Nothobranchius furzeri: one gene and its partner. The protein of the gene in region 2 binds, or shares a complex with, the protein of the main gene of each other region. Links are inferred from orthologs where the notes say so. Each region holds a gene or a part of one and is shown on either strand. Other genes may lie near its edges.

Region 1 (4,574 bases), on a different chromosome or scaffold from region 2:
TAACGTCGTTTTTCTGATGATCTCAAATGGTTGTTTCTGTCTGAGAGGCTCTCCTAAATCACCGACAGGCCGACACTTCTCGGAAATGTTTCTCATGGTTTCATCTTTGGAAGTTTGTAGTACTTTTCCTCTGATGCTTCCCTCTGGTGTGGAAAGTGCGCCACACGGTGGTTGTATTTGTACCTGCAGATCACACTTACTTCGAACATTTGATTTTCTTCCTCTTCAATTAAGAGCACATTTAACTGTTATGTCTCATGGTTAAGTGCTCACAGACCACCGTGTAATCAGCACATCACACCCACACCATCGCAGCAACATCATCATTTAATCAACAAACAGACCTCTCTTTAATCCCTATTTTGTAAAGCAATAATATAATTTATTCTAGTACTAACTGTATTCTTAGTCTTCTCTAAGTGTATGTGCTGCTGTAGCAAGGTAATTTCTCCACTGTGGGACTATTCTATTCTACCAACACTATTGGTCTGTATTGCATATTTTGAACCAGAAGATGGCGGAAGTCCTCTGAAATCCAACCAATACAACAAGAAAGTGAGCTATTTAGCCCTAGTATTATTTCAGTTATTGATTAAATAATTTCTTGCAGAACATGTAGTCATGCTATGACATAATTAAAGTATGCTGTCTTAATAAATGCAAAAAGGAAATATCCAAGCTAGACCACACATATGTTGAGTTTCTGTCTAACACGAAAATCGGACCTCAAGAGACTCACGGAAATTCAGAAATTGGTATTTATTTGTTTATTTTTATTATGTTTTTCAGACAAGTTAACAACTTGCTGTACAAGTTTCAACACCTGTTGTTAGCTAATTAAACATACCGATCAGATTTCTCCTCTGTAAAAAAATATATATTTCTAAATTCATTAATCAAGAACTTTTCATAAGCTATAAATCATTTATGAACATATTAATTAACCACCAATAATTAATTCCAAGATACATTTCAGAAACTGGGTAAGAATGGAAACTTAGTCATAAACATTACTTTAAAAGGTCAATAAATTCAATAGTTTTGGGCCAAAGTCTCAAAGTCTCCATAAGTTAGCCAAACGTTGTAAAGCCGTATTAGGATAAGAAATGACGTAAAATGTTGTAATGAAAGATAACAGTGAAAATCCCATTTTCACAATCAGCTGTCCGTTTAAATCTGTAGCCTGATTATATAATGACCATAATAACGCACTTTTGCCATTTCATGTTTCAATCGCAAGAAAAAGTCGCTTCCTGTTGGACGAAACCAAATCAGCTAGGAGGCGTGATCAACAAAACACTTCACGTAGGATTCACAAAACAGGCTGCGAACATTAACATGAATAAAACAAACGTTTTAAAATTAATTTGATAGTTTTTTGGATTATGTAAAATTGTACAGTTATTAATGAGCAGAAAGGAGCAAAACTTAACCGTACACACCTCTGAAGTAAAGGAGTCGGCCGGAAACGGGAGGACAGTCCTTACTTTTTATTGGCTGAAAGTTCCCCGCGAAATCTACGTCAGCAGCAGATTCGCGCCACAACTGCGGCACTCGGACATACACAAAAGTGGTAAGAAAATCAGTAATTCTTCAAGTTAATCCTTGTTAAATCGGTAGGTAGCTTTTCAGTAACTGTACGCTTTGGCAAACAAGCTCATCTTAATTGCGAGCAAATGTTTGGGTTTTGTTTTTATTTAAGTCACATTTAACTCGCAGATCCAGTGAAATCCAACAGGCAGGGAGGTTCATTATTGTCTGTGCAGCCACATGTCAAATGGTGTCCAAAGTTAGCATAAGTGGCTCTAAAACTAACGGATGAGCATAGAACACCTTTTATTGAAGGAAAATGTTAACGTGACCAGATAAGTTGAGTCTGTTAATGAAGTTTGTAGGTCATTTTTGCCGCTAAGCGAGATTTTTCTGACTGTCGTGGTTTGACACTGCAGAGTTCTGTGTAGTTGTCTGACAATCAAGCGATTTCTATTTGAACCGGCCACCAATAGGAACCAGTAATAAACTGCCTACAGTTTAACCAAAACTCTCAGCATGTCAACTTGTTACTATTTAAAGTAAAAACTAAATTCTGAAAGTATTTGGTTGAATGTTAATTTAATTGGATTTAAGGAAATATCAACATGATGACTCCAACGCGTAGAATGGAGAAATTGTACAGAAACTGTTGGCAGTTTTTGATTATTTTTTTACGAAGCTTCTTTCATCCAAACAAAACATGCATCGTGAAAAGAAATGTATTGATCAAGTCTGAACATAAAAACGCTTAAATCACCCTAAGTCTTGTTTTTTGTCATGCAGATATCCCATCAGCCATGTCTTCCCCTGCATCGACTCCTGGTGGCCGCAAACGTGGAAGGAACACCAACCCTTCCACTCGTACGCTCATTTACATGTTCATCCCTGTGATGTGATTTATTGTTGTGAAGCATGCTTTGTTTACTTTGATGTTCTGTGTAAATCTCAGCGCTTAGGGAGGACCCAACCTCGCCTCCCTCTCAGCGACGCAGAGGTCAGGACTCCTCCACTGGTGACCTGATGCCTATGCCCACCTCTCCAGCCACAGACATGGCCAGTCCTGCAGCTCAGCAAGACACCTCCCTGTTCTCGAGCCCGCGGCCTTCAGGTATTTCATAGTTTTATTCTTTATGACCTTTTATAGAATAAAACTGAAATGAGATTATTAATCTGTTTGATGGGATTGCTACAGTTCTGCCTAATGAAGTGGACATGAGCTCCCCTCTGATGTATGGGACCCCGAGCTCCAGGGTCGAAGGGACCCCGCGCAGTGGAGTGCGTGGAACACCGGCCAGACAACGACCTGATCTGGGATCAGTCAGGAAGGCTCCTCAAGTTGATCTTCATTCTGATGCAGTCAGTAGAAGAGCAAGTTTAATGTTTTCAAATCCAGCCTGAAAACAGAGAATCTAAACATTCATTTTTATTTTTCAGCCAAGTGCAGATGGTGTTGCAGCAAATGAACCAAATGCAGCCCAGAGTCTGGTGATCTGGGGGACTGATGTCAACGTGGGAACCTGCAAGGAGAAGTTCCAGGTATGACCGTAACTGATATGTGATGTCTTTTTATTAGAACAAGTCTTTATGATCTTTTTGTGCTTTCAGAGGTTTCTGCAGCGGTTCATCGACCCAAATTCTACTGAGGATGAGAACGCTGGTCTGGACTTAAATGAGCCTTTGTACATGCAGAAGCTGGAAGAGGTACTCGCTGGTTCTACCGTGATCCTGCAGATCGTGTTCAGGTATTAACTTTCATGTCTTCGTCTCTCAGATCAGCGTTGTGGGTGACCCCGTGATAAACGTCAACTGCCAACATGTGCAGTCCTTTGACGCAGACCTGTACAGGCAGCTCATCTGCTACCCACAAGTATGGTAGTTCCGTTTAAACTTTAAAAATGAGAAAAAGTAAATTATTAAAGTGGGAAACATCCTGTTGTGTATTTTTTTGCAGGAAGTTATCCCGACCTTTGACATGGCCGTCAATGAGCTTTTCTTTGAGCGTTTCCCAGATTCCATTCTGGAGTACCAGATCCAAGTTCGCCCCTACAACGCCCTGAAAACCAGAAACATGAGGAGTCTGAACCCAGAAGGTGTGTGTGTGTGTTCATTAATTCAGGCCCAGATGAGCACATGCAAAACCTCCCATCCCATATTTTGTGTGGGGTTTCTGTGAACACTAACGCTTGTCGCCCCCACAGACATCGATCAGCTAATCACCATCAGCGGCATGGTGATCCGCACCTCGCAGCTCATCCCAGAGATGCAGGAGGCCTTCTTCCAGTGCCAGGTGTGCGCCTTCACCGTCCGCATGGAGGTGGATCGCGGCCGCATCGCCGAGCCGGGCGTGTGTCGCCACTGCAACAACACCCACAGTCTGGCGCTGATTCACAACCGCTCGGTCTTCTCTGACAAACAGATGGTGGGAGTTTGATGCTTCATGGTGACATCATCATCTGAATGTGGCAGGTGGTACTTAGTGATGCGTTGACAGATTCTGACATCTGTTCATTCACTGATCTTTGCAACAGATCAAAATTCAGGAGTCTCCCGAAGACATGCCGGCCGGGCAGACGCCTCACACCACGGTTGTGTACGCTCACAATGACCTGGTTGATAAAGTTCAGCCTGGAGACAGAGTAAACATCACCGGTAAGACCTCGAACTCATCCCTGCAGGAATAAACGTCACAATAATTCCCTTGGAACATTCAACCTGAGAAGATCAGTTCACATTTCACTTGAGTGCATCGACTTTTTAAGGCTCTGATCTCTTTGTGGGAATTTTGAACCGGTGCTTGTTCCAACTCTTGTCACCTTTGTCTGTCCAGGTATCTACAGAGCGGTCCCGATGCGCGTGAACCCACGTCAGAGCAACGTAAAGTCGGTCTACAAGACCCACATAGATGCCATCCACTTCCGCAAGACAGACGAAAAGCGTCTGCACGGTCTGGACGAAGAAGCCGAGCAAAAACTCTTCACGGAGAATCGTGTGCAGACCTTAAAGGAGCTGGCGGCCAAGCCGGACGTCTACGAACGTCTGTC
Region 2 (4,301 bases):
ATCCCTCCCCACGGTGTCATGAATGTTATCTACATTCAAATCACACAAGTTAGTCCTTTCTCCAGATGATAAAGAATCAGTTTGTGTTTCCCGGTTTTATCTGTGTGGTTTCAACAGACTAAACTGCCTTTTTTTCATTACAACTCCAGCAAAAACAAATATATACAAGTGCTGAAATGTAGGATCTCCTGGAGTAAAAAAACATCCTCAGCAACACCTGCAATGTAAAAATAAGTGTTAGTTGCATTTCGTTGCCCATTGTAATTACAGAACTGTCAATTTTAATCCACAGCCAACCTAAATACTGCAGTTTTCTTTGTTGCCAAGAGATAAAACAGTGGAGCTAAAAATAAATTCAGATTTCACAGCAAAGAGTTTGCTTATGTAACATCTGCAGAGTGGAATTAGCGGATGTCTATGCAAGAGAGGTCATGAATGAGTTAACGAGATGTGTTTTTTTTATAACGGATCTCAACTCACCCTGATTTTCAAATCAGCTGCACCGCTCCGTTTGACACCAGCGGCGCTACGGTGCGGTATCGCATCAAATGCTGCGAGCCCTCTTCCAGATCCACAATATATTCTCTGACAGAAGAGGTGTTATTTTTCAGTATTTATACCTTAAACATGTCACTAGGTGTACAACGACAACACTGCCACCTACTGGATACTGAATGAACAGCAACCATGAGGAGAACTACCTCTGATCGTCGGTTTCAGGCTCCACCAAAATATTTTCCTGTTTCTCCTTCACTCGCAGAAACACAAAGGAGTCCAAGCAAGGCTCGGGCACTGGAATTGGATCAATCACAGGATTTAGTGCATCAGCCCGTGTGTGTGTGTGTTGCAGTAAATGCCACAAATGGCAATTTCCAAGGAAGCAAATATAATGTTTACCTGCTTTGAGCAGATCTACAGTCTGTAAGTTGAGTGGCATTCGCTTCAGCGCTACAGCCTTTAGGTAGGTTTCTGTGTTGGTGTAATACCTGCACACAACATTAAAATTAGTTTTTATTATTAAAATCCTAAATCAAACAGTTGACGTCACTCTATGCTCACTCTTTAGCAAAAGCAAACTCCTCAGGAGAGAGCAGAGATGGCTGTCCTTCCACTCGAGACTTCTCCCTCTCCAGGACGTGAGGAAAGAACTTTTCAATCTGAACACAGACAGCGTGACAGATCAGTGCTTTTTTTAAAGGTAAAAGAGAAACCGCGTAGATCTTTACGTTACTTCGACTGACTTTTTGCAGACGAGAGCGCAGGTAGCTGCTGAGGACAAAGCGGATCCTGTCTATTTCCATTCGGTGGAAGCTGGCTTTGGCATCACCTTTCTTTACCCGTTGCAGGTTTGATTCCTGTTTGGGGAAATGCCACAAAAAATAAATAAAAATTTATTTTAAAAAAAACACTACAAATAACACAGATCTGGAATATTAAAGAGCCACAGTAATCTAATGTCAGGATTCCAGTAGATAAATATCCTGATAGAAGAGAAATAAAAGCAAAAATTTCACCTTGAGCTCTTAGAAGACACAATTTTACACACCCTGGGGTCAAAATTCACTTGTAAGTCGCTTTGGACAAAAGCGTCTGCTAAATACATAAACATAAACATAAATATAAAGGTCAACTCTGAAAATAATCTACTTGTATTAGTTTATTATGTAAAATGTAATCACTGCATTAGTAAAGCATCTCCTTTAAAGTCTAGAGTAAAGCAGAAACAGGAGCTAATGATCAAAACGCTTCGTTTTTTTTTTACCACAATAAGAGAACATAAAGTATTGTTCCCACGCCTGCTTCAACAAACACTTTGAGGTTGTTTCTAGTAATTAGTCAAACACAAATCTGTTTTTCACACAGGATAATCTGACATAATATTTGTTATCGGCAAGCATTTAAATCATCACTTCACTAATCTAATGAATAGTCAAAGCAGTTTAATGTAATTAAAGGCAGAATCAGCATCAATTATTTAAATATAAATCTTTATTTTGATGCTTGTCTTATTGATTAATTTGGTATAACTAATAGAAACTAATCTAAATAAATGTTAAATATGATGTTAGTTTAGTTTCGTGTGTTTATTTTCTCCGGTATGCTCTGCTGTCTACAGCGTTTCCACTAAACAGCCAGCACTTGTTGAACATGAAACTAGAGAGTGATTGTGTGTGTTACAGAGAATCTGAGAGGTATTCCCCAGGTAGTTACCATATGAGTCAGCTGCTCCATCACACACTCCACCACCTCGGACTTGTTCTCCAGCAGCTCTGGGGAGAACTTCTCGTTCAGCCAAGCCTGCGGGTCACAAACACACCTGTAAGGCACAGCTGGCACAACATTAAAGCCAGGAAACAGCAGACCCAAAGACCCACAGTTCGACTTAAAACGTGATAAATCAAATAAAAAGACTCACTTCTTCTAGTTTAGCTATCAGCTCCGCCGGAGTCATGACATCCTGGCTGTCATCTTGGTTGATGTCGCTGCCGTCATCCGACAACGCGTCCGACATGCTTTCACTTTATAAGGTACGCTAATTAAATACTGCTGTTTTAGAAACGATATTGTTTTGGCTTCAAATAACAAAATGGGAAACTTAAATAAAAGTAATAAAACGAGTTTAGCTACACAGTCGTCCCTGAAGCTTCTGCGGTGCAAAATGCTCTTGTTTATTCGCGCCACTGGCGTTCTCGCGAGAGTTGTATTTTGTTCAAAAACCCCGAATTTTGACTGTAAGGCCAAGTCTTTCCCGCAGCCACAAAGATCAATAAAATACAAAAAAATGTAAATAGAAAAAGGCAGTATTTTTGAGATAAGAGAATGTTTTCTTATTTACTCTAAAGTGATTACTCACGTAATATTAGTCAGGTCATTCTGACCTGTCCGAAATGCATAACGAAGGGTAAAAAAATAACAACGCAGGGTTCTCTGGATTTCCTGCAAATAAAATAAAATGTTTTTGAACAAGCTTTTATTATAATAAGGAATTATAATAACATAACAACATTAATAATAGTAACATCAACAACAGTTAATAATAATAATAATAATAATAATAATAATAATAATAATAATAATAATAATAATAATAATAATAATAATAATGTTATTTGTATGGTAATTGTGTTTCATTTTTGATGTTGACTAAATAACATGAAAATAAATATTAAGTGGTCATTCATTACCATAATGAATTAAAATATTTGTTATTTTAATAACATGAAATTGGTAAAAAGCCATTTAAAAAATATGTACCGAGGTTTGCATGTTTTATAAAGCAGTATGTCAGATTTCCCATTCATTTAACAATGTCCAATGTTTATATACAACATTTAGTCTAAAGACATATCTACTTGAATATTGTTTACTATCTGTAGTACCTCATATTCATAGAATGAATATTCAAAATTCTGTCCTCCTCCTACCAGGGCTCAAATATCTCAAAACTATGATTACTGAACTTCCACTAGGTCACCCACGGTCTCTCTCACACACACATGCACACACACACATACATTTTTCAACATACCATCTCTTAGTCAGTCTTGCCCTGCATTTGAAATAAGTTCCATCATCTGCTTGACTTGTTGCATCTGTTTCCAGATAACAGTGGCCTGAGGGCTAATCTCATTTGTATGATTTCCTCTTTCTATTTCCTCCTTATTGCTCTCAGAGCATTTGTTCTACTGATGATTTTGCATTTGCCATGCAAACCTGTTGTTATAGTAGGCCTACTGACAATGAGCACCACTGACCACAGCTGGCACCCATAACTCTGTTCTAAATGAAACCTGCAGGGTCAAAACTGTGCAGATGGAGGATTGTTTTACACTGAAAAGTTTTTATTGCACAGATTTTTGATTGCATTTGTCATTTTTATTTAAATACATTAAAAACAATAACATTTGCAATAACTGTTTCTAGAAACTGTAACACTGGTATTAGATACATAAAGCATTTGTCACTGCATACATTTTTACAGATTTTACCATACAGTACTCAATGGGGGGTAAAAAACAGAATAAAGACAAGTGCAATGGAAGATGAGTGATGTATAACTGATGTTTTGACAAAATGGGATAATGTGAAATAACACCACAGTATGAATATACATCCATCCATCTAAATGTTTGCAATAGTGTAACTGCAAGAGAAATTATGCATAGTTGTTTTTTAAATAATGCACCAACAACAATCCTCTTTAACCATCACTACACCACCTTTATTTATTTTTGAATATTCTCATCATATAGTGAGCAGTGCTTATTTAGGTTTCAGGGCTGCCGTTCAGAAACTCAAAG

The links.
Region 1: gins4 (region 2) and mcm4 share a complex: the UniProt entries of both Homo sapiens proteins name them as parts of the CMG helicase complex. The link is inferred for Nothobranchius furzeri from reciprocal best matches to the Homo sapiens genes GINS4 and MCM4.

What each region holds. Positions count from the first base shown.
Region 1 is NC_091751.1:50,642,466-50,647,039, reverse strand, and holds the start of mcm4 (DNA replication licensing factor MCM4), read left to right. Parts: upstream 1-1,478; 5' UTR 1,479-1,573; intron 1,574-2,316; 5' UTR 2,317-2,330; coding exon 2,331-2,394; intron 2,395-2,482; coding exon 2,483-2,641; intron 2,642-2,725; coding exon 2,726-2,889; intron 2,890-2,967; coding exon 2,968-3,069; intron 3,070-3,138; coding exon 3,139-3,234; intron 3,235-3,304; coding exon 3,305-3,400; intron 3,401-3,484; coding exon 3,485-3,623; intron 3,624-3,731; coding exon 3,732-3,952; intron 3,953-4,061; coding exon 4,062-4,182; intron 4,183-4,360; coding exon 4,361-4,574. UniProt on the Homo sapiens protein: Acts as a component of the MCM2-7 complex (MCM complex) which is the replicative helicase essential for 'once per cell cycle' DNA replication initiation and elongation in eukaryotic cells.
Region 2 is NC_091757.1:38,273,228-38,277,528, reverse strand, and holds the start of gins4 (DNA replication complex GINS protein SLD5), read right to left. Parts: upstream 2,804-4,301; 5' UTR 2,513-2,803; coding exon 2,417-2,512; intron 2,299-2,416; coding exon 2,212-2,298; intron 1,356-2,211; coding exon 1,242-1,355; intron 1,158-1,241; coding exon 1,060-1,157; intron 987-1,059; coding exon 898-986; intron 793-897; coding exon 702-792; intron 586-701; coding exon 489-585; 3' UTR 481-488; intron 218-480; 3' UTR 1-217. Other genes in the region: arid5a (AT-rich interactive domain-containing protein 5A), read right to left, coding at 4,296-4,301. UniProt on the Homo sapiens protein: Required for correct functioning of the GINS complex, a complex that plays an essential role in the initiation of DNA replication, and progression of DNA replication forks.